Linked DNA regions of Arabidopsis thaliana. The protein of the gene in region 3 interacts with the protein of the main gene of each other region in a pairwise test. Each region holds a gene or a part of one and is shown on either strand. Other genes may lie near its edges.

The links.
Region 1: the proteins of AT2G45820 (region 3) and IMPA-2 interact in a two-hybrid assay, tested with the Arabidopsis thaliana proteins (one study listed by BioGRID).
Region 2: the proteins of AT2G45820 (region 3) and IMPA-1 interact in a two-hybrid assay, tested with the Arabidopsis thaliana proteins (one study listed by BioGRID).
Region 4: the proteins of AT2G45820 (region 3) and ARR3 interact in a two-hybrid assay, tested with the Arabidopsis thaliana proteins (one study listed by BioGRID).

What each region holds. Positions count from the first base shown.
Region 1 is NC_003075.7:9,132,517-9,140,701, reverse strand, and holds IMPA-2 (importin alpha), read left to right. Parts: upstream 1-3,286; 5' UTR 3,287-3,567; coding exon 3,568-3,792; intron 3,793-3,880; coding exon 3,881-4,069; intron 4,070-4,154; coding exon 4,155-4,286; intron 4,287-4,401; coding exon 4,402-4,587; intron 4,588-4,669; coding exon 4,670-4,833; intron 4,834-4,920; coding exon 4,921-4,999; intron 5,000-5,356; coding exon 5,357-5,485; intron 5,486-5,640; coding exon 5,641-5,768; intron 5,769-5,876; coding exon 5,877-6,252; 3' UTR 6,253-6,254; exon of another isoform or gene 6,255-6,377; 3' UTR 6,378-6,952; downstream 6,953-8,185. Other genes in the region: AT4G16141 (GATA type zinc finger transcription factor family protein), read left to right, coding at 7,809-7,982.
Region 2 is NC_003074.8:2,117,057-2,125,516, reverse strand, and holds IMPA-1 (importin alpha), read right to left. Parts: upstream 5,174-8,460; 5' UTR 4,959-5,173; coding exon 4,749-4,958; intron 4,583-4,748; coding exon 4,486-4,582; intron 4,388-4,485; coding exon 4,296-4,387; intron 4,218-4,295; coding exon 4,086-4,217; intron 3,979-4,085; coding exon 3,793-3,978; intron 3,713-3,792; coding exon 3,549-3,712; intron 3,462-3,548; coding exon 3,383-3,461; intron 2,806-3,382; coding exon 2,677-2,805; intron 2,576-2,676; coding exon 2,448-2,575; intron 2,344-2,447; coding exon 1,962-2,343; 3' UTR 1,960-1,961; exon of another isoform or gene 1,950-1,959; intron 1,870-1,949; 3' UTR 1,351-1,869; downstream 1-1,350. Other genes in the region: TRX z (Thioredoxin z), read right to left, coding at 573-695, 1,011-1,241; AT3G06710 (E3 ubiquitin ligase), read right to left, coding at 5,904-6,200, 6,310-6,750; AT3G06700 (Ribosomal L29e protein family), read left to right, coding at 7,717-7,818, 7,915-7,998. UniProt on the Arabidopsis thaliana protein: Binds to conventional NLS motifs with high affinity in the absence of an importin beta subunit. Mediates nuclear protein import across the nuclear envelope in vitro in the absence of exogenously added importin beta subunit.
Region 3 is NC_003071.7:18,861,471-18,868,073, forward strand, and holds AT2G45820 (Remorin family protein), read right to left. Parts: upstream 3,272-6,603; 5' UTR 3,107-3,271; coding exon 2,953-3,106; intron 2,263-2,952; coding exon 2,209-2,262; intron 2,114-2,208; coding exon 2,026-2,113; intron 1,954-2,025; coding exon 1,677-1,953; 3' UTR 1,483-1,676; downstream 1-1,482. Other genes in the region: AT2G45810 (DEA(D/H)-box RNA helicase family protein), read left to right, coding at 1-71, 165-345, 423-511, 611-684, 770-848; DTA2 (downstream target of AGL15 2), read left to right, coding at 4,854-5,033, 5,137-5,690, 5,782-5,974, 6,061-6,125, 6,206-6,416, 6,506-6,603. UniProt on the Arabidopsis thaliana protein: Exhibits a non sequence-specific DNA-binding activity.
Region 4 is NC_003070.9:22,064,087-22,070,131, forward strand, and holds ARR3 (response regulator 3), read right to left. Parts: upstream 3,148-6,045; 5' UTR 3,086-3,147; coding exon 2,635-3,085; intron 2,558-2,634; coding exon 2,481-2,557; intron 2,409-2,480; coding exon 2,331-2,408; intron 2,252-2,330; coding exon 2,181-2,251; intron 2,103-2,180; coding exon 1,808-2,102; 3' UTR 1,531-1,807; downstream 1-1,530. Other genes in the region: AT1G59950 (NAD(P)-linked oxidoreductase superfamily protein), read right to left, coding at 3,947-4,174, 4,580-4,759, 4,877-5,120. UniProt on the Arabidopsis thaliana protein: Functions as a response regulator involved in His-to-Asp phosphorelay signal transduction system. Phosphorylation of the Asp residue in the receiver domain activates the ability of the protein to promote the transcription of target genes.

The DNA.
Region 1 (8,185 bases), on a different chromosome or scaffold from region 3:
TCAGGATGGAAGTGATCTCCCGGTCGTATCATATAGTTCAGATGCTGTTGAGTGGCCTCCTGCTCACAAAGCTTCATACTCCAGACCTGATATTAACAAGGTAAGACTTGGAGTTTGCATTGAGTACATAATCTAGGATTTCTATATAATCATTGCATCTTCAAAATCCATGTGATTTCTTACCAGCAATGCCTTTTCCATTTTTTTTGTCTTCTCTGGATGCAGCCCTTACCGACATCTCAACCATCCTGGACGTATAACAATAATCTGACTTCATCATCAAATCGTACACAGATTGATCAGCAGTTCCAGAAGCTGTGAGTATTCTCCCTTAATATAATTGTCGGTAATTCTGCTTAATAGGAATTCAAACACTATAAGCTCTCTGAGCTTTAGGAACCCTGAGAAATAGGGGTATGCCATCCGATATGTGTCACTGGTTTTCTTGCTTTACATCTACCTGTTTCTGTGATCACCATATATATACGATGTTTGGGTCACTTATTAGTTATTACCAGAAAAACTACCATTCTGATGGACTAAACTGCCAATGCTGCTTGGATTTTCTATTTATGGTATCATGTTTATTGGTTGCGTTTTGTGGAATTCTTCTTTGGTTTTGGGATATTGAAACAAGAAATGAGTCTATGAGACTCAAGTGCTACTCCATATTAATCTGGGATGATCATTGAGACTTTAATTGTGCTCCTGAACCTGCAGATCTTTTGATTTCCTGCCTCCAAACCAAGCAACCTTGTCAAGACATTCATTTCTAGGTCCGAATGGTCTTAAAAGGCAAATGGTTGCACCCAAGTCAGAGATAAAGGTATAGTGCTGATCATTGTTACCTTTCTCACATTTTCTCACTCTTTCTTTTACTCTTGGTCCAATTCAATGTTTAATTATCTTAGATCTGAAGGAACTGAGAAAAATCTTTATTTTGTATGGAATGATAGGTTCAATATCCGAGTAATACAGATTGGGGTTCTGCGGACAATTCAGGGTAAGTACTCATCTTCTGTTACCTTCTAAGCTTTTCCTTAAAGAAGTCATGGCTATTTCAAACTGACTCCATGTATTTCTGCAGTTTAATTGAAGCTGGACCTAGCAGTTCCTCAGCATCACTTAATGGTGATTCTCAAGAAGTCTCAACACTGAACTCTGTGCTCTCCTTAGATGATGGTCGATGGCAGCGTCATTCTGAGGCAGTAAATTCCCAGTTTATTAGCGACGCAACTGAAGACCCGTTTCAGTTTGTCGGTATGAAGCAACCTTCCCCTCCTCCCGTGCTTGCTCAAGTGCATCAAGAGTTAGCCCAAATTTGCCCATCTAAAGTAGCTGATCCTAGACCAGGACCTGCAATTCCTTCCCTAGAAGGAAAAGAGGGCAGCAATTCTTATCAGCATTTGCATGTGGTATGTTCCAGCTGTATCTTCTTTCACTTTTGTGCAGTTTCCACCAATTCCATAGTGTTTGTGAGAGTAAAGTGGAAGGGATATGCATATCAAGTAGAAAATTATCCATGATTAGTCTAATTATTTGGTATGTGTTCAAGAATCAACACATTAAATCATCGAAGTATTGGATTCATGACCATTACAGCTTCTTAAAAGCTTGCTAGAATCGGTTCTGGAAATCTTTCTCTTTCACCTCTTCTTAATCTACTACTAATGTTGTCACCCTTTATTTAAATTTGCTGAAGCCTGTGCGCATAATGGATGATTTCCTAAGGCTAGCTCGGTCAAACACAGAACGGAATTTAGAAACTTGTGGAGTACTTGCTGGTTCTCTGGTGAGTAGATGGAACCTTTGCATTTATAATTTTTGATTCCAATATCATGATCAGCTCGCCATTACTTATATTCTGTCTATTTGCCATGTTTACAGAAAAACAGGGTTTTTCATATCACTACTCTCATAATCCCAAAGCAGGAGTCTACCTCAGATTCTGTATGTTCTTCATTTTTCTTAACCATTTACATCAATAACAATCTTTTTAATTCTCGCTGGTATGCTTCTCACACTTAGGTTCATCATCATTTGGGTAATGTACAGTGCCAAACACTAAACGAGAAGAAATATTCGAGTACAGGACAGACTCTCTCTATTTCCCTTGGGTTGGATTCATGTAAGTTCTCTCACCCGAACTAAAAAATCTTCCATTTCCAGATAATGACTTACCAAAACGTTACTCAGAACAATTGTGAATCCATATATCCACTAGTTGATAAGCTTTATCGATTCGTCTTGCTAATTTACATTTTGGTTTCAGACACACCCTACACAAACTTGCTTCATGTCATCAGTTGATCTACACACACACTACTCGTATCAGGTAACAAACTCCCCTTATCAATATCTCTATGTTAATCACTTATGATGCGATTATAGTAAAACCATCATCTATATCTATTGTCCCAGATAATGCTACCGGAGGCGGTGGCAATCGTAATGGCACCAACAGACGAATCAACACCTCATGGAATATTCCATCTCTCTGATCCATCAGGCGTATCTGTGATCCGAAACTGCCAGCAACGAGGCTTCCACCCACACGAAGAATCAGAAGACGGTAACCCAATCTACGAGCATTGCTCACACGTCTTCCTCAATGCCAAACTCAAATATGAAGTCCTCGATCTCCGCTAAAAGCCAACCTCCATCACCATGTTATTATTTTTCCTGGAGTCTTAACTTTAAAGAGACATTAAAAAGACCTCAGAGATCAGATGTCTCAGCCGTACATATATGTGTATACTTCTTAAAAAAACCTTCTCTTTAAAGTTCCAAACTTGGCTGAGCCGTCTTAAGTAATGATGATTGTGTTTATTTATAACGAGTACACTTTTAAATTCGTATGCACCATTTCACAAAGCCAGATGTTTGATTAAAAAAACATAAGTATTTTTTTCTGACGATTTTTTCATTTAAATTAAAATTCATTATAGTCTGTGGGAAAGACCTGATACCATGAAAGTTGAGGTGAAAATCTGTTATTAGCTTTCATCAGATAAGAACGGAGAGAGAATAACAGATTTTCACCTCCTAGATAATGCTACCAGAGGTACTTGCAATCGTTATGGCTCCAACAGACGAATCTACCCCAATATATGAGCATTGCTCATACGTCTTCCTCAACGTCAAACTCAAATGCGAAGTTCTCTACTCTAAACTTTCTTAAACGAATATAATATACTTTTAAAATTACTTTCACAAAACCAAGTTTTGCCAAAAAAAAAACTGTATTTTATTTTAAATTAAATTTAGTCGGTGCGAAAAGACTAATGAATAAACAAGTCAACTTAAGTAAATTAATGGTCTCTGTATCGAATCTTAAAATTTAGATTTACCAAAATGTTTTTGTAAACCAACGAAATTCAATCTTTCTCTCTGTGCCTTTTTTCCTCTTTTCTCGTTCCCCTCTACTTCATTTAGGGTTTATCATCCTCTACCAATCCGCCGATTCTATACATACACTTTTCATATATATACATACATCGTCTCCACTCTCGTTGGCTCATTTTTCATTCACCGCCACGAAGCAAGAGGAGATTCGTATTAGCCACCATGTCTTTGAGACCTAACGCTAAGACTGAGGTTCGCCGGAACCGCTACAAAGTGGCGGTGGATGCTGAGGAAGGAAGACGGAGGAGAGAGGACAACATGGTCGAGATCCGTAAGAGTAAGCGTGAAGAAAGCTTACAGAAGAAGCGTCGTGAAGGCCTTCAAGCTAATCAGCTACCTCAATTCGCTCCTTCTCCTGTTCCTGCTTCATCAACTGTTGAGAAGAAGGTAATATTACTAGCGATCTGGAACCGTTTCCTAGGATTTGATTGGTTTAGATCGATTCGATTTTGATTTTGGTTTTGGTTTTGGCTAGTTGGAGAGTTTGCCTGCTATGGTTGGTGGTGTTTGGTCAGATGATAGAAGTTTACAGCTTGAAGCGACTACTCAGTTCCGGAAATTGCTTTCTATTGAGCGTAGTCCTCCGATTGAAGAAGTGATTGATGCTGGTGTTGTGCCTCGGTTTGTGGAATTTCTCACTAGAGAGGATTATCCACAGCTTCAGGTTTGGTGGATCGTTATGTATCTGTCATATTTTGCTAGAATTGTCTTCTGATACTAATTACTTGTGTGTGTGTGTGTGATTTCAGTTTGAGGCTGCTTGGGCATTGACAAACATTGCTTCTGGGACTTCAGAGAATACAAAGGTGGTCATTGAACATGGTGCTGTTCCGATTTTTGTTCAACTATTGGCTTCTCAGAGTGATGATGTCCGTGAGCAGGTAAGATATGTGTTTATGGTTTTTTCTCATGACTCAATATACTGTCAATTTTGTTTGTTTTCGGGAACAAGCATGTTCTAAAGCTTGTTTGTTTCTTAATCTTTTCATGTGTAAGGCTGTGTGGGCATTAGGGAATGTTGCTGGTGATTCTCCACGGTGCAGAGATCTTGTCCTTGGTCAAGGAGCTTTGATACCATTACTCTCTCAGTTGAATGAGCATGCTAAACTCTCGATGCTGAGAAATGCTACTTGGACCCTCTCTAATTTCTGCAGGGGCAAGCCACAGCCTCCCTTTGACCAGGTTTGTCTCTCATTCCTATCTTAATCTCTGCCCAAAGATGAAGGAGTTTTTCTTTTTAATTCTTGTGATCTCTTAATAACAGGTCCGTCCAGCACTCCCAGCCCTTGAACGCCTGATTCATTCGACTGATGAGGAAGTGTTAACGGATGCATGTTGGGCTCTCTCTTACCTTTCCGATGGCACAAATGACAAAATCCAATCTGTCATTGAGGCAGGTGTTGTTCCTCGACTCGTCGAGCTTCTCCAGTGAGTTTCAAATCCCATGATTTCACCGTGCTTTTGTATAATGAATGTTATGTGTTAATGAATATTATCAATTTTATTTTGCTGTAGGCATCAATCACCATCTGTGCTTATTCCTGCCCTTCGTAGTATTGGTAACATTGTCACTGGAGATGATCTGCAGACACAGGTATGTTTGTTCTTTTATAGTGTCATTCATTCATATTATTCAGGATACATGGTCCAATACTGATGGGAAGAATGAAATACACTGGCTAGAAAGCTGAATCTGAGTTTGTTGATAATGACATTTAGTTGTCAAAAGTTACTTGTCAAATTCTTCCTAGATGAATCTCTAGAATGGGAACTGTCAATTCTTCCCAGATTTTATTTCCCCCCCTGCATGTTTTTTACCCTAGTTATGCAATACCTAACATTCCTTTTGAATAGTTAGACTAATTTAAGGCAGTATGTATAATACTCTTAAGAATCTCACACATGTACCATTCCTCACTTATTTTGCTTTCTTTTTTGGTTGGTTCTACAGTGTGTAATTAGTCATGGTGCACTTCTTAGCCTTTTGAGCCTTCTGACTCACAATCATAAGAAGAGCATCAAAAAGGAAGCTTGCTGGACAATCTCAAATATCACTGCTGGAAACAGGGACCAGATTCAGGTGAACTTTTGCTAAAGATTGTTGTTTCTGCTCAGCTTATCAGTTTCTCATAAACTAATCACTAATGTTGGAAGACATGTTTCAGAAGCCTTTTTGTTGTTTGAAGAAAGATGTTCTGTGTGTTTATGTTCTCTAATATTGTTGTGGTATTGCAGGCTGTGTGTGAAGCTGGTTTGATTTGCCCTCTTGTCAATCTGCTTCAAAATGCGGAGTTTGATATAAAGAAAGAAGCTGCGTGGGCAATATCAAATGCCACTTCAGGTGGTTCTCCTGACCAAATCAAGTAAGATTATCCGATATAAACTCCATGTTCTGTTGATCTCAACTCCTTTAGAATCTTTGTTGGTTATTTTTCAAACAGTCAATTAAGTTATTCCGTTGTGTGTTTTAGGTACATGGTGGAACAGGGAGTCGTGAAACCACTGTGTGATCTTTTGGTGTGCCCTGATCCAAGGATTATCACTGTGTGTCTGGAAGGATTGGAGAACATTTTGAAAGTTGGGGAAGCTGAAAAGGTCACAGGAAATACCGGGGATGTAAACTTTTATGCACAGCTGATCGATGATGCTGAGGGATTAGAAAAGATTGAGAATCTGCAGAGTCATGACAACAGCGAAATCTATGAGAAGGCAGTGAAGATTCTTGAAACGTACTGGTTGGAAGAGGAAGATGAAACTTTACCACCTGGTGATCCCTCTGCACAAGGCTTCCAGTTTGGAGGAGGTAATGATGCAGCCGTACCACCAGGTGGATTCAACTTCCAGTGAAGGTAAAAAAACCTCACTACTTGGGACTAATTTATCTAAGCATCTAAGGCTAGACTAGCAAACAGAGTAAATCTGCCTGTGTGTCTACCTTGTGTGAATCTGTGAGTCTGGTTTTGCTTCCACAGGAGCTGAACATGACGATTTGAAGAGTCGAAGGAGCTTAAAGAGTTTGGGGGCACTGGTTAAAAAGGGTATGATTAGAGAGTCTGGTCTTCTGTGTAAAAGTCAGATGGGGTGCCTTACTTAGTCTGGCCTGGTCCGGTCAGATCCAGTGGTTGGTGGGTTTGAGTCATGGAATAAGCTTGTTGGGGGGGAGTTGGGTAGGAGTCATCAAGGGATATTTATTTTTGGGAAAGGGTTTATAAGTTTTTAAAGTGTGATCTGATGAGAATGTGTCTCTCTGGGTTTTTGTTACATTTGTACTACACAACACTGCAAAGTCAAACATAAAAAAGTTGGTCAAACTTTATTTGGTCTTATTGGTGACATAAAAGCCCAATTGGTTCGTCTCTTTATTGTTTATAGTAAATGTTTTTTTTTATAATCTATTTTAGTGCGGTCCAAGTCATTTTGGGCTATTGTCTACATATGCACGCGTATCTAGTTTCAACATATTTCCATTAATCGATGTTATTAATGGTTATCGTCAACTTCAAGTAGGGAGGGTTTCAATAATAAAAAAATCCTATGTTTTGTTCAATCCCTGTCGTTTATAAGCGTAGGTATGCCTTGGACCCAAAAGAACTCAAATATTCATAAGTCGATTACACAAATTTAAATAAGATGAAATTGACCAAAAAGAGAGATGTTTTGTAATTTTCATACAAAAAAAGTTGCACTACACGAGCATGTCTTCGATATACCTAATATTATTACATAAATTTTTCGTATTTCATTGTGAAGAATTACACAAAATATCTAAAAGACTGGTAAAAAATGCATGCATATCTCTAAGCCCAATTAGGGAAATCTAACGTGGCAAACAACCACAACGAGTAAATCCAATGTATTTCGTGCGCCAGGTTTTGAATTAAAATTTCAAATTTGGTACCAAAGCAAGCAAGATACCAAAAAACCCCCTTCCACAAGATCTTTGTTACAAGTTGTTGTTGTAAAATGATTTTCCCTCTTCTTTTTTCAGTTTGTGGTTGTTTTATTTTTTGGCGGGTGGTTCTATAGTAATAAAACACCGCGCTCGAGGGTAAAAAAGTAATTAAGAAAGAGAAATCTAGGGTTTATTAGTCCCCGCCTCCTCCTTTATTATAAAAACCCTCTCCGTTTGTTTTATCCGTTATTCTTCTGCGGCGTCTCTCTCTCTTCCTTATCATCATCATCTTCACTCTAAACTTCACAGAGAGCCATTCAAGCAGAAGAAGAGCTCTTTGATCCTTCTCTGCCATTTCCGTTACTCTCCTTTCTTCTGTTTCAGAGTTTTCTATTCTTCTCAATCCTATCTCGCTTCGAAGTGGATCAATGTGAGTTTCCATGATCGTTTTTGATCCTTCTCTTACTTGTAGTTGATGATCACGTTTAATAATTGTCTTTTTCTTTTGTAGATGTCAATGACGGAAGAAACCAAGACGACGAAGCTCGAATCGGCGGGAGATTCGTCCGATGTAGACAACGGGAACTGTAGTAGCAGTGGAAGTGGAGGTGATACGAAGAAGACATGCGTTGATTGCGGAACAAGCAGGACTCCTCTTTGGCGTGGTGGACCTGCTGGCCCTAAAGTAAGGATCATGATCTCTCTCTACCATTTTCTTTTAAACCCTTAAAAATCCAAGCTTTAAGGTCTCATGTGTTAGATCTAGTCAAATAGGTACTTGAATCCACTTAAAATGTAGGTTGATCTTGTGTGCTTAGCTCTGTTGCTAGTGGGTTTTGTCTCATTGATGTGATCATGTGTATACATAGTCTAGGTATGCGAGGTTTG
Region 2 (8,460 bases), on a different chromosome or scaffold from region 3:
TGTCATGAGTGAAAAAGCAAGTAGATAAAGCCAATCAATAAGAAGATGCTTAGATTCTCCTATCTCACACATTTCTTTTGAATTTGTAGACATGCCAACTACGCGACAAGGTATCTTTGTCATAAAGTATGGGAGAAACAGTCGTAAGATTGGAACTGTTTAACTCCTTTATCTAATTCACCAAAAGAACTAAACCATAGAAGAGACTTGATTAATGAGAGCGGTCTTTCAACTCTAGTCAATTGCCAAACCAAGACCCAAGACAAATCCAGAGTGCCCCCAATACATTTTCATAGCCCCTCTTTAAACATTAAGATCTCAGTAAACTGTAAAGATTTGTTGATGAGCTACCAAAGCTATAATGCACTGCCCAACTCCTATGCAAGTTACAATAGTACTGCACTAGACTTAACAGTAATATACCATCACATTTCAAGATTCAAGTATATTATAACGAACAACCGGGTTCCAAGAGCCAACGTTTGGAAATATATAAGCATTCTAGAGTCTACACATGAAGCAAGTGAAATGGAGAATGTGTAAGAAAGTTGAGTTATGAGAATCCATGGTACCATTTCTAGTTCCTGGGCCATCAAGATACAAGGTCCACACCATGTCGCATAAAAATCAACAATCAACGGCACCTTCCTATCTCCTTTCACCAGTTCCTGAAGTTCTTGAGCTGACAATTTCTTCTGTCAAACCATAAGAAAAGGAACAAAAAACATCCAGAAATCAGTGAGGCTTCCACATGATGGTATCAACAAGAGTCATTCATAAGATTCAAATTAAGCAAATCTCTATTCTGAAGTATTTAACAGTGTACTGGTCGAATCTTTGATAGAACTACCATATATCGTTCTTATATAATAACTACATCTATGCCCAGCCAACTTAATTTCCCAGAAAGGCGAAAAAGGAAGTCGTAAAACGAAAACAAACATGAAATTTTTTGAAATCGACAAAATATGTTGTTTGGAGCGTGAGAGAAAGCGAGAAATTGTCCGTACCACAAGATAATCTTCTCTGACAAACTTGCCGCGAGGCGGAGGACAGAGAAGCTTTCGCGGACGCGTCAACGGCGAGAAGGGCAAGTTTCCGGCGGTGGAGGAGGAGAACGGCGCGGCTACCGGTCGGATTTCCCTCCGGATAAAGAGAGAAGACGGAGCATGGAGGGAGGATAGAATCGGCGATAACGGAGTGTTGAGGTGTGGAAAAGTTCTGGATTGAACAAGAGCCATTTTGGAAATCGATTTCTGCTTCAAAATGATTTCAGTTTTAGCTTTTGAGGGGTTTTAGACGATAAGGCAATTGAACTGGACATATACTAATAGTTCATTAGTTCTTGTCTTTTTACAATTTACTTGCTCAGGTAAAGTCAAATTCATAATAATTTATTGCTGTTTTATGTATACTTTACTTCATAATTCAAATAAAGATTCGAGTCTTTATAACTCGAAGATAAACCCTTCCTTAGGTTTGACCAAAAAAAAAAAAACCTTTCCTTAGGAAATCAGACACCAAACATATTAAGACCAATAAAGGGTTTATGGTTTCAATTTTTTAACCGACATACAAACTGTTGTCAACACAAAAACAAAAGACTCCACTGTAAGTTTTTATAACCCTCCAAAATTTAAAAACAACACAAAGGTCGACTCACGACCGGTGTACCAGTCATTTCAAAAAAATAGCCCTGGACAATGAACCAAACACTTTCTCAGACGCTGTACTTTTAAACCGACCACCCGGTACAAACCTCTGAGACCAGACCAGACCAGACCTGGAGTATAACCATGGCAGTGAAACTAGACTCTGACTGACTCTGACCTTTCACCATTCTCAAGTTGCAAGCTTCCAATTCCATTCCTGTGGGTTTATATTGATCTAAATATCAGATTTTGCATGTTTTCATCAAGAGACGTTGTTAGAAATTTAAGAATTTTTACTTTTATTTACCTTCAGCTGAAGTTGAATCCTCCGGATGGTACTGGAGCTTGATTCCCTCCAAACTGGAACCCAGCCTGAGAACCATCAACACCTGGAGGTTGCTGTGTCTCATCATCTTCCTCTTCAAGCCAGTATGTCTCCAGAATTTTAACAGCCTTCTCATAGATCTCATTGTTGTCATGGCTCTGAAGGTTCTCGATCTTTTCTAGCCCTTCTGCATCATCAATCAGCTGAGCGTAATAGTTCATGTCTCCTGTGTGACCCAAGTTCTTCTCTGCCTCTCCCACCTTCAAAATGTTTTCCAATCCTTCAAGGCAGACAGTTATGATTCTTGGATCTGGGCAAACCAGGAGATCGCATAATGGTTTTATGCACCCTTGCTCCACCAGGTATCTGTATAACCAACGGGAACAGAACATCAATATATATATACACAAAGTATATATATGAGAGAAGAAACTGGAAGTTAGAGGAACGCAAAAAAGACAGTGACATACTTTATTTGATCATGAGAACCACCTGAAGTTGCATTTGAAATTGCCCATGCAGCTTCCTTCTTAATGTCAAATTCAGCATTTTGAAGCAGACTCACCAACGGGGAAATCAAATTAGCCTCAACTACCGTCTGCAACCATCAGGGGAAAAACAACACAATTAATGAATAGGTATAGAAGTCTGGATGGGAAACGGTACAAAACATATGATGAAACAGTACTAATTGCCTACCTGGATCTGATCTTTGTTGCCTGCTGTGATGTTTGAAATCGTCCAGCAAGCTTCCTTCTTTATGCTTTTCTTATGGTTTTGAGTGAGCAGGTTGGCAAGACAAGGTAGAGCACCACTATTGATCACGCACTGGAGAAGAAGTAAAATCAGATTTCCAAGTAAAACGATGTAAACTATTTCAGATATAGAAAAATCACCTTTGCTAAACTCATGAAAAACCAAATTTCACCAAGCAAAAAATTTGTGCATGTTGTTGGTTTAAACTTTAAAACAAGAATTAATTGTAACAAAACTCAAACACAAGCAATATATAGCAAAAAAGGCACTGCATCCTATCTGCTAATATGGACAGAGTGGCAACAGAGGGAGAATCTCATGATAAGCATTCAATACTCCCATTTTTCACATAAAATGTTGGATATGAATAATAGCAACAGGGTGCCATACATTTGAACAACACCTCATCGCAATTACCAGTCTTGGATTAGATGATATGCATGGTATATCACTAACTTCGACATGTTTTTGCTATCGGTTCAATTAATGAAAAGTTCTAGTGGTATCTTCAGACCTATTCCTAAAGGCCAAAGAATTGCATAACCACAAAGATATTCTTTGGCATAGTAGGAAAAATATATACTATCATATACAATGTGCAAAACCGAAATACTGTGAGAAATTCAATAGACAGGATTTAGATCCATACCTGTGTTTGTATATCATCTCCAGTAACTATATTTCCAACAGTGCGAAGAGCAGGAATTAGCACAGATGGAGAATGATGGCTAAAAATCAAGAGCAAGGTATCAAGTTATTTGTCAACAAATGTGTGAAGTGGACATGAAATAAGGGAATTATAAAATGGTACTGACAGGAGAAGTTCAACAAGTTTTGGGACAACACCGGCCTGGATGACAGTCTGGATTTTGTCATTGGTCCCATCAGAGAGGTAAGAAAGAGCCCAACAGGCATCTGTCAAGACTTCTTCATCATCTGAATGAATTAGTCGTTCAAGGGCGGGAAGAGCAGGTTTGACCTGTTAAACATGCTTCATATGTTAGAAGAATACTAGACATAAACATTGACGAAACAAGCTTGGAGGGGAAAAAAATAGACCTGGTCAAAGTGAGGCTGAGGCTTGCCACGACAGAAGTTTGACAAGGTCCAAGTGGCATTTCGAAGCATGGACAATTTAGCATGCTCATTAAGCTGATTGAGCAGCGGAAGCAGTGCCCCACATCCAAGAACAAGATCACGGCACCGTGGTGAATCACCAGCAACGTTACCCAAAGCCCATACAGCCTGCAGGTTAGAGCGAAATCTTAAGATCAGGGTTTCACAAAATTTTCAATTGCATAATCTCTCATAATAAATGAGAAGACATTCTGTAGTCATCAGAAGTTCCATACCTGTTCACGAACATCATCGCTAGGGGAAGCAAGAAGCTGAACAAAGATTGGAACAGCATTGTGATCGATTACAACCTTAGTGTGATCCGATGTTCCAGATGCAATGTTTGTTAGAGCCCAAGCTGCCTCAAACTAAAATAAAAATCATAAAAGATGAGAAGAGAAGATTACAGTGAAGAATGAATCAATAAGAGACATTAATTATCTCACCTGAATGGCGGGGTAATCTTCTTTCTTAAGAAACTCAACAAACCTAGGAACAACACCAGCACTTATCACTTCCTCGATTGGAGGACTTCTCTCTATGCAATTATAATAGAGACAGAGAGACAAAAGTTAAAGGGGACACTCCAAATTATATCAAAACGGGAAATAAAAGAGAATTAAGAAAAGGAATTACCAATAGAGAGAAGCTTCCTGAACTGAGTAGTGGACTCAAGCTGCAAGGCAGGGTCATCGGACCAAACCCCAGCGACCATATCCTTCAGACTATCCAACTACAAATGTTTTTTTAAAGCCAATCAATCACAAGACAACTACCGTAACCAGAACCCAAAAACGAAACCCTAAAACCTCAGTAAGCCGACATGAAAATCACAAACAAAAACCTAGAAAACCGACAACAAGGAGTACAATCGAATCATCTAAAAACCAGAATTGTACCTTCTTATCGACGGAGGCGGCGGAAGCTGAAGGGAAACCCTGAAGAGCTTGCATACCTTCACGTCTCTTCTTCATCAAACTCTCCTCACGCTTGCTTTTACGGATCTCAACCATGTTGTCTTCTCTCCTCCGTCGTCCTTCCTCCGCATCCACTGCAACTTTGTATCGGTTCCGGCGAACCTCCGTCTTAGCGTTGGGTCTCAGTGACATGGCTCTTGCTCGACAAAGAAAATCCGATGAAAAGATATAAACCCGATCAATGAATGCACACAAGCACACGCAAAGACTGGTCTGTGTATTATATAGATCCTGCCGAGAGCAAATAAATTATAATTATAAAAAAAACCTAAAAATTGATTTGGGAGTGGAAAAGTGATAAAGAAAGAGTTAAGAAGCAGAGGCAGCGAGGGACAAGTTGACAACAGCGCATCCAAAGAATGAAAGCACTTTTTTATTTATTTTTAATCTTTGTTCTTAATTTATACTGTAATTGCTAAAATATTCACTTATTTACAGTTTTGCCACTATTTATTTATGCAAACAGGTGTCCACAATTAGGTTATTTACATAATTAGCCCCTTACTATTGTGTTCTTTGAGGCAAGCTAATGTATTCTTCTTTATATCTCAACAATTTGAAGATCCTTTTGTTTTCATGACTTACAAGTGGACTGCGATTATCTTAATATTAACGTATATAGACCTTGGTTACTATATAACTTTTTGAGTTTTGAATCTACGTTTGTGTTTATACATTTTTTCCTTTCCAATGAAAAGTCGTTGTTTGTCATATATGGATTAGTTATTTCTCTCTAGCGAGATATCCTCAGTCAGATTGTCCACTCTTTAACCGACTACATACCGATCATCGAAGACCAACCTATGAAAGTAACTGACGAGATCATAAGTTTGCTTGGCCATGAACCAGACCGCAATCAAGGCTAACAACGCCGGCCAGATAAACGGCTCAATAGCTGGGTTGGCGCTACGGGAAAATCCAAGCAGAGGTAACAAAGACTTCAAGAGCAAGTAAGGGATGCAGAGTGTGGCTAGAAGTGTGGTTATGATCGAACCAATCACATCTTGAAGCAGCCACATTGAAGGAAGCTTATTGATTCCCACGTTTCTGATTCTCTTGAACTTTCCCCGCCATGCCTTAGTCGCGAAACAGTTGACAGGAAACGAGATTTTTGCTCAGGAGGCAGGACAGTTTCTTTGTTATGAAGTGATATCCCAAGGAAAACCACCTGACTATGGCTGGAAACGAGATTTGACGCAGAGTGAGGAAAATTCCTAAGTAGGCAAAGGGAATTGACAGCGTCATCATGTATCCAAGAATGACAGGTGAGTTTTCGAATAAACCGCCACCTCCTACAATTGCTATTGCAATCCAGCGAAAAGAAAACGGCAGAAGAATAAAGAAGAAAGACACACATATGCTGATGGTAAGAGCCTGTAGATAAGATAACAAACAGAACCTGTTATTCAAAACATGCTCCATATGGTAATTAAGTTACATAGGGTGGACGAAGGAAGAGAACTAGAAGGGACATTAGACTTACATCAAAAGATTTGTTATCCAGAAAGAAAAGCAGCCGTCCAATGGCTCCAAGTTCGTGAACAGCAACACCAACTAGCCTAGGAGGTTCCCCGAAGAAGCTTTGCAATAGAGAATAATACCACTCACAAACGATCTTGTTATATTTCCATAAAACAAGCACAAACCCATCTCCTAAGACATTCTTAATCAAGATGTCAGCCTGAAACCCAGCAGGATGTCTCGCGATAATGGGCTCGTGTATGGGTATCCTCATGAAAAACACAAGATGACCGTTGTATAACAGGCCATTTAAGAAACATGCGGACTTGGTAGACATTCCATAATCTCTCTTGAACCCAACAACAACTTCTTGGCCCAAAGGATGTAAAGAAAGGCAGTATGTGTTCAAGATAAACGCCATAGCCCAAGGAACAACCATTCTCACGTAAGGTGATGCTCTCATTAACACAAACACGTATTAGAAACTCGTGAACTGGAAGTCTCTCTGGAGCGTCCTACAATGAAAACAGAGAGCATTTCATCAAACATTTGGTGTGCGAGATTCTTCTTAAACCCATATTACAAGAAACAGAGAAGAAATCGAAAATCCCAACACCATGACACAAATATAATCCCCAAAAACATCACTCATAACAAAATACTAGTAAATAACTTTGATATTCTTTCTAAAATCGCAGAAATTGAAGTTTAATCGAAAACGAAATTGTCACATAACGCTATAGAACAAGAACCTCATTCTTTAGAGAAAAAGAGGTTTGTATAATAACCTCGCACTGCTTGTATCCGCGGAGATTGAGCCAGATATGAAGACAGTCTTGATGAACATTGATGGAGCCTCGACACGCGCACCGGATACCATAAGGGGTTTCCTGGTTCCTCCGGTGATCGGCAAATCCTGCACAAGTCTTCTTCTTCTTTATCATCATCGTGTTTGTCTGTGTCTTCTACCAGAGTAGCTTGATCGTCCATTTTTCTGATGAAACAGAAAGGTTTCTTCTCTATCTCTCGTCTTCTTCACTTCCTTGAGTCAAAGAAATTCCAAATTTTGAAAAAAATGGTTTGCTGCTTTATTTATACCCCAATTTGTAAAAGGCCACGACTCTGGGTTCATTCAATGGGCTTATATGATTTAGCAACGAGATAGATTAATTAGAGGCCCATATATGATTTATTAGGGCACGTTGGTCATTTAAAGTCCACTATAAATTCAATCAGAAATTAGGGTTTTGTGTTGCAGACGCCGTATTTGTATCGCGGAAAGTAAACCTAGCCGAGCAGATCTACCTCTCTCTCTCAGTACTCAGGTTAGCTTTTCTTATATCTACGGCCGATCTCTGGCTTCATTTCCCCCTGTTGTTTCGTTCGTTATTCAATTGAATAGTTTGTATTGTGGTCTTGTGTCTCAGAGATGGCCAAGTCGAAGAATCACACGGCGCATAACCAGTCGGCGAAAGCCCACAAGAACGGAATCAAGAAGCCAAGGAGACACCGTCACACCCCAACCAGAGGAGTAAGTCTCTTATTACAGTTCTAACCTAACTGATTTCAGATTCGGGTTATAGTGTTGGAGGTTTGATTATTGCGTTTATGTGAAATGATGTTTCAGATGGACCCTAAGTTCCTGAGGAACCAGAGGTACGCAAGGAAGCACAACGTCAAGGCCGGCGAGAATGCTAGCGCTGAAGAATAAGTGTTTTGATTATCTGTGAGACATTTTGAAGTTTTTTTTTAATGAATTTAAGACTTTCTTAGACAAAGGAACCAATTTACTTTGCGCTTTTGATCATGTTTACGCAATTGTGGTTTGTGTACTCTCTTATCCTGGCCTTAATTTAATATCAGCAGTTTTCTATGCATCTTCTCTTATCTGCAAGTTACTTGATTCGTTACCGATTCTTTTATTGTTTAGCATATATGTTTGTGTGTACCTGAAATCTGATAGCCGAATTTGATCTACAAATTAGATGTTAAGCATATAATCCGTACTTGATCTACAATCATCTTTGATTGTTAAACATATATGTTTTGTGTTTTTATTGTTTCTTTTAAATTACATGTAGCTTCGCTATTTGTTGGTTCATGATTGCCCTAGTTGCTGCATCTTCAGGATGATTCTCTATAATCCTGTTTTGTATAAAATTGTCTATTGGTA
Region 3 (6,603 bases):
GTGTTACCCAATATTATGCTTTTGTTGAAGAGAGACAGAAGGTGCACTGCCTTAACACGCTATTCTCTAAGGTCAGAGTTTTGTTACAGTCTTAAAACCCCAATGTTTTATTTTCTGGCTACTTGATGTATCTTTTAAAGGAAATATTGTTTTATCTATTGCAGCTCCAAATAAACCAATCCATTATCTTTTGCAACTCTGTTAATCGTGTTGAGCTGTTGGCCAAGAAAATTACAGAACTTGGTTACTCATGCTTCTATATCCATGCAAAGATGGTTCAAGACCATCGGAACAGGGTTTTCCATGATTTCCGCAATGGTGCATGCAGAAATCTTGTTTGCACTGGTACGTTTTGTGTATTTCATGTGCTTGAACATTGACAAATGTGTTTATGTTTCACGGGGAATGTCTGTCTGTTGCAGATTTGTTTACACGTGGGATTGACATTCAAGCTGTGAATGTGGTGATAAATTTCGATTTTCCTAGGACTTCTGAGTCGTATCTACATAGGGTATGTTAAGGGAAGCCGATTTTGGTTTATCTTCTTGAGAACCTGCTCTGTTTTATTTGTTCAAATTGTGAATGGGTTTTTGCTTCATTATATTACCAGGTAGGCAGATCAGGACGATTTGGACACCTTGGGTTGGCTGTGAATTTGGTAACTTATGAGGACCGCTTCAAAATGTTCGTGTTTCTTTTTCTCAACTGGTGTGGCCTCTCTTTTCATAGATGCTATAGCTTTCTTACTCAATTATTTGGTTTCCAACAGGTATCAGACAGAGCAAGAACTTGGAACTGAAATCAAGCCCATACCTTCACTTATCGACAAGGCAATCTACTGTCAGTAACTTCTACCTGGTGTACATTCTCTACCCGGCAAGGCATTGATGGACTAACCGGTGAGACAAATCCCTCTCTAGGCATCTTGACATTAGAACTAACCTGCATTGCTCATAGACCAAATTTCCATTGATTTTGGTTTGCGGTTATTTAGGTGTAGTGAGGAGGCAAATCATTCAGCTTTGGCAGCCACTAGCTCGTTCTAGAGATGAAGGCAACACATAGAGTACTGTACTGAGGCAAGAAGAGACAGTATAGGTGGTTGATGGCGATGGAAGCGGTTGATTGTGTCTAAACCTTTAAAGCAGTACCGGCTTGATTTGGTTTGAATTGAAGACTTCTTCTGCTGCATGATATGAACCTTAAAGTTGTCTTCTCTCATCTCTAATTTTCATGTTCTTAGAAACCTTTTCACCTTTTCATTTTGATGTTCTCTCATCTTGAAGACTTGAGAGGAATTTCCGAGTAGTGAGATCAAACCGAAGAAGACATTTTAACTTCATTCGCTTGTTTATTGCTTTTAGATCTCCACCTGTGCCTGAACTGTTTAAGGATTATAGTTGGTGTGTGTCAAGTCAAGTGTCTTAGCATTTTAAGAGTTACAGATCAGATGTGAAGTCGTACAACTGAAACAAAAGGCAAAACAAGATTTGATGCTTCATACAATTATACTCCATTAATCTTTCACTTTTACACACAATCACCCAATATGTAAACAAGACACAAACGACCAAACAAATAACAAAAACTAAAAAGAGTTGTTGAATCACACAAAAACAAAAGAAGAAGAAAGAAACAGAGATGAATTGTTACAAAGATACAAATTCAATAAAGGCTTAGAAACATCCACACGTTGCCTTTGGTACTACACCAGTGGCTCTATACTTAGCACCCATTTCTTCAGCTTTGAGAAGCTCTTCTCCTTTTTTAGCTTCAACCATTGCTCTCTTCTCTTCTGCTAACTTGTGGATTGCAGCTACTTTGTTCTTCATTTTCTCACCGTACTGCGCTTTTTTCTTCTCTAATTTTTCCTCGATCTTCCTAAGTTGAGCTTCTACGGCTGCTTTCTTGCTATTTTCCCAAGCATGCACATCAGAGATCTTCTTTTGTGCCCTGTCCATTTCAAGATCATCAGAGATCTGTAAGCAATAGTAATCTTTGGGTGAGAAGATGATGAAAGTTTACCTGTTCTCAGCCTTTGACTTCTCACTCTCTTCCCATGCTTTGATGAATGACGTTTTCTTCTCTTTTTCCAAGTCGGCAAGTATCACATCTGACCAAACACACACAACACACATTTGAAGTAAATTACTGAACTAAGTAACTAAGAAACTGGACATGAGAAACAAAGTGTTGTTATCAGCTGACCTCTATCGGCCGAACCAGATGAAGCTTTCTTAGGTGTATGCTCCTCGATGGGTTCTGCAAGAAGCACACTTATAAGTATAACACATGGATATTTGTTGCAAGAAGCTCACTTTTAACTAAGTTAAATTTTGTTGCTCTAATTGGCTAATAAGGTCATCAAAATAGTAGTTTATAAAACGAAACTCCACACAGAAGGAATTACAGATAGTAAATAAAGATGAACAAATGAATGTTCAAGGATTATAAAAACTGCTGGAAAGTTAGTACTTAATTGTTATTTTCCAAGAGTTAAGCAACTTTAAAGGAAGGAAAAAATGTAGGAATATTAAGAAAGTAACCCACTTTCCTTAATTCATAGCTGTCCACAACTAATTTGTCATGATTCCATACACTTTTTGATAACACTAATTACAGGGAACATTGCTTTACTATTAATCATATTTTAATAATATCATCCTCGAAAAACATAATTCTCTTGAAAATGCCATGATGAAGTTGTAAATTCTAACAGCGATGGATTTCACCTAAACAAATAGAGTATAGACCAAGTCATATGCAAAAGAACTCACAAAAACCTTAGGCATCTTAAGAAAATCCATTTGTTAATTGTAAATTGAAACCTTAGTTCCAAACGTAAGAATTCTGAATTACATACTATAATAATTCATCGTAAACATGAATGAATCCTCCTAAGTAGAAGATTAACATATATAAAACACACACGTATGTAAATAGAAAGCTTACTTTCTACAACGGCAAGAGCTTTGGACTCGACGGGAGGTGGATTATGAATTTTCTCATCCGCGACTTCCACCGGAGCAGGAGTCGGTTCCTTCGCCGGAGCTAAAACAGCCGGAGATTCTACGTCAACCTTACTCGTCTTTTGCTCCTCCGCCATTGTCTCTCAGCCGAAGAAGAAGAACAGATTTTATGTTTTTTCCGTGAAAATGGATAAAATTGAGATTTTAGGACAATAATGAGTTAAAGAGTTTTTATATCCTCCGTTAGCTTATACCGGTGGAGCGTACTACGCGCGTTTAATAAGTGTGAGACTCTTGTTTTGCTTCGCCGTTGATTTTTGTACCCATGTGATCGTGCGGCTGTAAAGCTCTCATACGCATTGGATGCGTTACACGTGATTAAACACACCTCACTGCCGACAAGTAAAGTGGTTCAATGATGCCACGTCACCTCTGTAGAAAATTTGTCCTCCCCTTCTTTTTTCCTGATATTCAACAAAACTTAATTCTTCCAATTATACCGAACTAAAATTTTGTTTACCATATAAATTGGTTTAAAATTGAAAATCAGATTTTAGCTGGGATTTTTTTATTATGAGAAAAACAACAATCAAACTACAATCAAGAAAATAAATGATCTATATTATTGCTAATCTTGGCTTAACTAAAAAGTTCGTATTAAAAAACTGAATCTAAATTTGGAGTGAGCTCGTATGCCTATAGAATTGACAGAGTGTCGGGTGTGTATTAAATCTATAATAAAATATCAATCACTCGAATTCATTTAAACAATTATTTTAGTTTTAAAATTTAAGTGGATCAAAGGGTGACGTGGAGCCTCACTGACTCGACACGCTGGAAGACAGATACAAAAAGGATAATGTCTGTGTCTCGCGCGTGTACAAAACTTTCCGGTTATGTGGCGCGTGGTATATGCAATTTAAACTGGTTTAAGCATGTGGTATATGGACTATGAGATGGAGACATCTCTTTTTGTAGGTGTTGGGCTTTTGTGAATCCTAATGGCCCAACGGGTTTTTAAATTTCCTGCCCAACTTGTTTTAATTTAAAGAAAGGTGTAATTTTTTTTCTAACAAAGCAATAAAGTAAATTAATTAAGGCTAATCACTAATCACAGACTCACAGTTTCGAACAGCCTGTGAAAGATGTATTAATGTATTTGTATAATAATAAAAAGTACTCTACAACATGGAATTATTTACGATTAATTATCTGTCTTGTATGATGATGAGTGGTCGAATATGGACTATGATGTCACTGACCTTTATTTAATGGGTTAAGGTTTATCTTCTTTCTTCTTTCTTCGAAGTTCGGATTCTTTTATTCAGTTTAAAGCACTTATAACAAACTTTCCCAAAGAGGACTTTAATTAATTGAACTCTTGCAGTTTTATTTTTGTAGTAAGCAGATTATTTTTCTAAGAACATCAAAGGTCTTGTATTTAGTTATTTACCAATAAATACAACGTTAATAAGAGACGATTATTTGGGAAACATTTGTGTATCACATATCAATGTCCATATGTGATTTGAGCATAGGAATACCAAATATGGATGACCAAATGTCTCCTACTAATTAATAAAATATTATCTATTTAATATTTAAAAACATTTTAACTCTTCGAAAAACTAAAAAGTAAACAAGATTCACACAAAAATATGAACGTCATTAACACAAAAGATGTGAACTCTGGTTAGTGTTGAAGATAACGTGAAACAAGATTCAAATCCTCGTGGAAGAGCACCAATCGATCACCAGAATCAAACCTTTGAGCTTCCTCCTAGCTTCGGTAACGTTTAATCTCACCTGATTCTCGTTTTTCTTCTCTTCCTGTTGAATGTTTGTGAACATAGATATATATAAAGCTGAGATAGATATAGATTCATGCTTCAACGGAAAAGCATGAAGAGGAACAACAACAATCTTCTAACGAACAAGAATAAGTATGTCTATCTTAAAACGGCGTCGCATCCAGCAAAAAGCATCGCTAAAGCTACTCTGTTCCTCGTCACCTCTCTCTTCATATCTGCTGGTCTCTTAGACTTATTGGGTTGTTTCGATTTCGTGAGTTCGAATCTGAAGTAACTTCTTTTTTAGAAACTTTTTATTCAATCAAGTGAATCTTGAACTTGAAGAGTTAATAAATTCATATCTCTCTGTACTTCAGACAACTTTTACAGGTCTGAAGCAGGTAACAACTAGTATCAGAAAATCACCAATCACAAGCCAAAGATTCCCTAACCAATGCGGCGTCGTTCAGAACCAAACTCAATTATTTCCCCAAAATGGCTCCTCGAGAAACAACGACAAACCCAGAAGCAGCCATTCAAGAATATCCACGTGTCCTTCTTACTTCCGTTGGATCCACGAAGATCTACGGCCATGGAAAGAGACAGGTGTAACGAGAGGGATGCTTGAGAAAGCCAGGAGGACGGCGCATTTCAGAGTAGTAATCCTCGACGGGAGAGTGTACGTTAAGAAATATAGAAAGTCAATCCAAACAAGAGACGTTTTTACTCTGTGGGGCATCGTACAGTTACTACGGTGGTACCCAGGTAGGTTACCGGATCTTGAGCTCATGTTTGACCCAGATGATAGACCAACCGTCCGATCTAAAGACTTTCAAGGTCAACAACACCCGGCCCCGCCTCCTTTGTTCCGTTATTGCTCTGATGACGCCAGCTTGGATATTGTCTTCCCTGATTGGTCCTTCTGGGGCTGGTAAGGGCTTAACACACATGTTAATTCTATTCTGTTCTCTATTTAATGGGCTTGTTATTGGACCTAGCTAATTATATTATTATTGGGCTAGGGCTGAGGTTAATATAAAGCCTTGGGATAAATCGCTAGTGGCGATAGAAGAAGGGAATAAGATGACTCAATGGAAAGACCGCGTGGCGTATGCTTATTGGAGAGGAAACCCTAATGTGGCTCCAACTAGAAGAGATCTTCTCAGATGTAATGTCTCAGCTCAAGAAGATTGGAACACACGTCTCTACATTCAGGTTAGGATTTCTCAAAATATGTATAATTTTTATATATTGCAATTTTTAAATAATCTAAATGATCAAAAATGTTTATTATTGTGAAGGATTGGGATAGAGAGTCAAGAGAAGGATTCAAGAACTCTAACCTAGAGAACCAATGCACCCACAGGTTTAACTTAAGCCACACTTTTTGTACTTAGGAAATATTTGCAAAGATTCGATTTTAAATGTGTGATAATGATGGAATAGGTACAAGATTTATATAGAAGGATGGGCATGGTCAGTGAGTGAGAAATATATAATGGCATGTGATTCAATGACATTGTACGTGAGACCTATGTTCTATGATTTTTACGTACGAGGAATGATGCCATTACAACATTACTGGCCAATCAGAGACACCTCTAAGTGTACTTCCCTCAAATTCGCCGTACATTGGGGGAATACTCATTTGGACCAGGTTTGTATTTTTTTTTTTACATTAAGACCCAAAAAGTTTTGTTTTGTAACAAATTAACACATTGAGTGTGGTTTTTTTTTTTTATATAGGCGAGTAAGATAGGAGAAGAAGGGAGTAGGTTTATTAGAGAGGAAGTGAAAATGGAATATGTGTATGACTACATGTTCCATTTGATGAACGAGTATGC
Region 4 (6,045 bases), on a different chromosome or scaffold from region 3:
TGGATTTTTGAGAATTTTCATACATATTAAAAGTTGATTATAAATATATCATTTTGTGATTTACATTTTAATATAATTCTAAACCAAATATATTCAATTATTTTTCTTGAAATTTACAATACATCAATAATAACTAGTTGCATAAAAAACCTAAAAACTTCATATATGTTTAATCAGTTTTTTTTTATGTAGAGAAACTACTATTTAAAAACAGAGGGAATAGAGGCAAGTGGAATGTACCGCATTTTCTGCTTTTTTAGTCAAAACTCAAAACCAAAATATAAAAATTCGAATGCTTATAAAAGTTGGGAAATTTTGTTTTGGAAACATAAGTTACGACATTCTAAAGAATAAAGAGAAACTTTGCCTAAATCTCATTTAAAGTACTTTTACAAGTTACTAAGAAAAATGTCATTCACTGTTTTTTGTTTTGCATGTTCTGTATAGAACCCCAATTAAAAAATTGTAGAAGAATAATTGGCCGTACCTTAAGGGGACAAAAACAGAAATCAAAATGAGAAGAAGATAAAAGTAGAATAATCACATGTTTAGTACGCCAAACGTGGGGAGTATCTTTGAGCTGATTCTGTTGTCTACAATGATTATTTGATTTTGATTCATTGCATTTGCCTATCAATTTTCTTTAATATCCAGTGCCTCCTTCTAAGTTCCAATGGGTAATGTAAGGGTCTTGCTAATATAATAATGCCGTACGTTATTATATTATTCGATTTGATCCTTCATTCTGAAGAAAGTTCAAAATATTATATGCATCCTCTTTTTAAATAGATATTGTGGTCGTGGTGTGAATCAAAGATATGAGTTTGTGAGTGATTAGGAGCTAAAATGTATACTTAATGTTTTTAGTAGACCTCCTAAGATTAGATATGAATCCATAATCCCCATGATTACATGTATTTGGACAACATTTTATTTCTTCTAATTTGTAGCCATGCATGACCACATAACCTTGAGTTAGATATGATTCATATGAATCATAATTAATCCCCATAATACCATGGTTATTCAACCGTTTTCATTTCTAATTCGTAGCCATGCATGCGTGACCACATGGTCATGGTTTAGCGACATGTGATTGTGAAATATGTGGTCGTAGTCACCAACTTAGCCACTACCTATTCAATGATTAAAATTAAAAAGACCACCAACATGTTCAACATAAGTTGTTAGTTATTATAGGTGTAAATATTACAAGCCGAGTTTCAATAGTATGTGTAGTTTGCAAATGATTTTATTACTATTTTGTGTAGTCTTCTCTAATAGACAGTTATCACACAAAAATTAGTGGTAGCTAGAGTAAGTAGTTGAAAATATTCATAGAAGCCATGCGGAATATTTGAGAGTACATTTTCAAAAATATATCATAATAATACAAGATTTGGTTCTTAATATCAAAGACTATAGATTAAAGAAAAGTATCCTCAAGTCGGTACATTATTGGATATCATACTATCAAATAAATGCTAATCGCTGGCAAAATCTCAAAAGTGATTAGCAGACGATATGAATACACAGAGGTAAACTGTCACACATTATTTGATTATTATGATATTATTAGAAATAGAAACATTATTTAATTTTAAAATTATCAAATATACGTAATTAAATAAATACAATACTTGTTTTTATAAAAGTTCCTTCGTGAGCAAAGAGACCCCACGTGCAACGATATAAAAAGAGAGAGAGAGATCTATAAGTATAAACTGACGGCGTTCAAGTCAACGTTGCAGTCAATAAAACCGTCAAAAGTAAAAAGTTAACGGAGATCGTTATCACACGGATCTCTCTAAGCTAATCCGGGACTCCTCATCGGCGAATCCACAAGCGAAGTTGCAGACTCCGGCGACATTGTCAACGAATCTTCATCGTCAACCATAGACAGAGGCGATTCCACCGTAGAGTCCGAAGATTCCATCGAGGATGTGGCTGAGAGCGGAGGCGGCGGCGGTGGAGTGGTCAGCTTCCGTTTGTTTCCTTCGGCGGCGACTTTAACGTCTCTCGTCAAGTAACTCCTCAGACGTTTCACGTCGGCGAGTTTCACCGGTTTTAGTAAAAAATCCTCCGCACCTTCTTCAAGACATCTACAACAGATTTATTGATTAAATTTCCGATCACCAAAATCGGAATCAAAAAAAAAAGATTCCGGCGAGAGATTTGACCTGTCGATACGAGTCATTACATTCTCCGACGACATAATTACAACAGGAACTTCCTTAAAACTTGTCGATTCCTGTTTTTTAAGAAAATCAAGAATTGAAAAAAAAAAAAAGTAACAGAATTTGTTTTTATGGCGGGAAAATTTCAGAAACCTTAATCTTTTTCAGAAGCTCGTATCCAGTCATTCCAGGCATACAGTAATCAGTGATGATCAAATCCACCTTCAATCTCTGGTAAAAATAAAGATCAAGATCAGAATCTAGAATCTCAAAATGTTTTAAAACAGAGTTATGAGAGATTACATCGAATTCGACGGCGGCTTTGTCGTCGTCTAATCCTAAGAATTCGAGAGCACGCCATCCGCTATCAACCGCCGTGACTGCATTGAATCATCGCCGGAGAATAAGGCTTTTAAAATGTTAAAGGGGAAAGAGGAAGAATTACTAGTTAAGAAACCTTTGCAGGATGTGATTCGAAGCAATCTTTCGATGACTATTCGATCAACTAGGCTGTCATCAACGGCGAGAACGTGGACTTGATCAGAATCTAGCGGCGGAGATTCAAGTTCTCCGATTCCTATACCGATCATCTCCGACCTTCGTAGACAAGAAACGCCACCGTCTTTGGCCATAGTGAGAAAAGAGTAGGAAATGAAAAGATAGAAGAGAGATATTGCTACTAGTTCCTCTCTACTTTGTTTTATATTTTCGTTGTTATACTCTTCTATATCAAATCTTTTTATAGGTGGATCATTTTCTACTTCATTTCTTTTACAAAATATTTTCTTATTCCAAGTGACGATTAATGACACAAAACGGTACGTACCTTTTTTTCTTTTTTGGGATGGGGGCAGCAAGAAATAGCGAACTAATCTGAATAGGTAAAGAAAGATAAATTCGAAGTTCATGATAAGATATAGATAGAAAGTACCGGTTTTGCTTCTTCTTACTTTTAGGATTGGTACTAAATAGATATACTTGGATTACCAACCAAACCCATAACAAGGGTTGTTTGGTATGTATGTTACTGATTTAATGTTCAAATTCGTCTTTTTGTTTCTCACATGTACTATGCTTTTGTTGTTGTTGTTGTTGTTGTTAAAAACACATTTACTATGTTCAGAAAATGATTTTTATTTTCTTCTCTCTATTTTGATGGACCCTTGAGCTTAATTTGAAGAAAAATCTAATGCATAGCTATGTCTTGTCTCCACTTATAAATACAAACTCTTAGACCATCATAAAATATGATGACCAAAACCATAACAAGTAAATAAAAAGGTTTATAGACAAAGTGAAAGAAACATAAAATCCAAAATCAAGCTTTCGTTTTCTATCAGAAATCCCGTTCAGAAAGACTTTATCGCAATGATGAACAGAGGTTTTTCACAAGATATTGTACATATCATTATGTGATTAATTTAGATGTTTAAAGATTTTGGGGTCCATGTAACATGCTTTGAAAGAAGCTTAAATATTAAAAAAAAAAAAAAAAAGATAAAAGAAAAGGAGAAACATTTCAAACTCAAAATTGCTCTTAAAAGACTTGCATATTCACAAAAGAAAAAAATAAGAAGAAACATTTCTCAAGGTTATAAATTAGAAATGCAACTTTACAAACTAAATAATCAAGACATTTATTTTACAACTACAACATTTATGAAGGTTATACATTGGAAATGCAACTTAACAAAACAAATTAATGCAACTTTACAAACTAAATAATCAAGACATTATATTACAACTGCCCCATAATTCACACATAGTGATCAGATCTCACCGTCCCACATCTCGGTGACAGATTTTATAGGACCTTTCTCCGAGATGTAAACCTCTCCGTCAACGATCCTGCTCTGAGAAATCTCCGTCGAGATTCTCTGTTTCTCCTCCTCTGTCAAAGACCAATCAAATATCTTCAGATTCTCTTCCAATCTGTCTTTCCTAAAGCTCTTCACCACCATGCTCACTCCTTCCTCGTAAGCCCATCTCATACTCACCTAGTCAATTGTCTATTACAACTCTAAAAATGAGCTTTAAATACTTTCATTCCCCAAAACTTCTCCACATCACTCTATTACCCGTTTAAAGAGTGAGTTTTTTTTTTTTTTTTTTTTGGGTCAACGAGAGTGAGTGCACAATATAAAAATGTATCAAACAAATAAATAAGTCAATAGTCCAAAATTAAATATCGCATAAAGATAGTTTTAGCCATTATCACAATAAAAATAAAACTAATTTTCAAATGAATATAACAATGACTTTTGTTTACCGATTTGTTAAAATATTTTCTGTAATTAACAAAATTTTCCTTTAAATTACGACTGTTTTTTTTAATATTTATACGTTAAAAGAAATTTAAAAATGTTTTCGTAAATAATTTTAAAACTGTCTTTGGAGAGTACCTGAGCTACTGTTTTTCCCTTTGCCTCAGCAATTTCTTTGAGAACATCAGACTCCATGATTTTGTGAGTTCCCCAAAACGCTCCTCTCGATCCCAACACCGAATAAGCTGTCACAACAATGCCTTTCGACTTACATAACTCCCTCAGTTTTCTCTGTTGCCATACTGGACTCATCTCCACCTTTTTCACATTATCCACAAACAAATGTTTCAAATTATTTCACCAATCCAATATTTTCTTATAAAAAAAAGGTTGAACTTATTTGATAAATTAAATAAGAGAGAATTTTAAATATACTTGATTGACACTAGGTGGGATTTTTGCTATTGAAAGGATGTGTTGGAGTTTCTTGCATGAGAAGTTGCTTACTCCTATACACTTTGCAACTCCGAGTCTCTGACACTCTTCCATCTCAGACCAAACTGTTTCATAATCCATTGGCAAAAAGTCATCTTCTTCTATAGGGAACTTGTATTTACCAGGTTTCGAGCTAACCGGCCAGTGGATTAGGTAGAGATCGAGATAGTCCAATTTAAGAGTTCTACAAAACATGATATGAAAATGATGATTAAGATCATGCAACCCCGAAATACGCTTTTTGTACTTGGCTTGCAGTCCATAGAAGGCTATCAACAGGAGATCGCATGGTTAAATGGTCGGGAGACGTTACAACGGACTGCATTCTCTGTCAAGGTAACCTCGAAACCCGGGAACACCTTTTCTTTGATTGTGGATACACTTCAGCAGTTTGGGCAGCGCTTGTAAAGGGAATTCTCAAATCGAGATATACTTCCAACTGGACCTCGATAATGGACCACCTCGCTCATGCTCAGCCACACCGCGTGGACCACTTCCTCGTTCGCTATGCCTTCCAAGCGACTCTATACACTGTGTGGAGGGAAAGAAATGGTAGACGACACGGTGAGACCCTCAACACGGCCTCTCAACTAGTTGGATGGATAGACAAGCAAATCCGAAATCAGCTGTCCTCAATCAAGCTCAAGGGCGATCGACGATATGATGACGCTCTTCAATTGTGGTTCAGTACCAGAGTTTAATCTTATAGTTTTGTCTCCTTTTTCTCAAACTCTATTTTCAGTTTAAACTCTTTCAACTCACGTTGCATTTGATGTAAAAAAGTTAGGTTTCTTTTGAATATAATTTAACATTATTTCAAAAAAAAAAAAATGATGATTAAGATTAAGCATTGTTCTAAGATACGGCCTAAGCGTTCATATATACGATGTAAAGATGTTATACATTAATGACTAATGTCCCAAAATCTTTATGAAAAAAAAATTAAAAAAATTAAATGATATTTTTTCGTATATACTTAAGTTTTTTATTGTGTTTTTTTAACACCATTGTGTTATTAGTTATAATAATGTTTTCGTTCTTAAAATATTATTTCGCCAATTTTGATACCAACGAGTGCGTATATATATCAACGAATCCAAACTCGAATA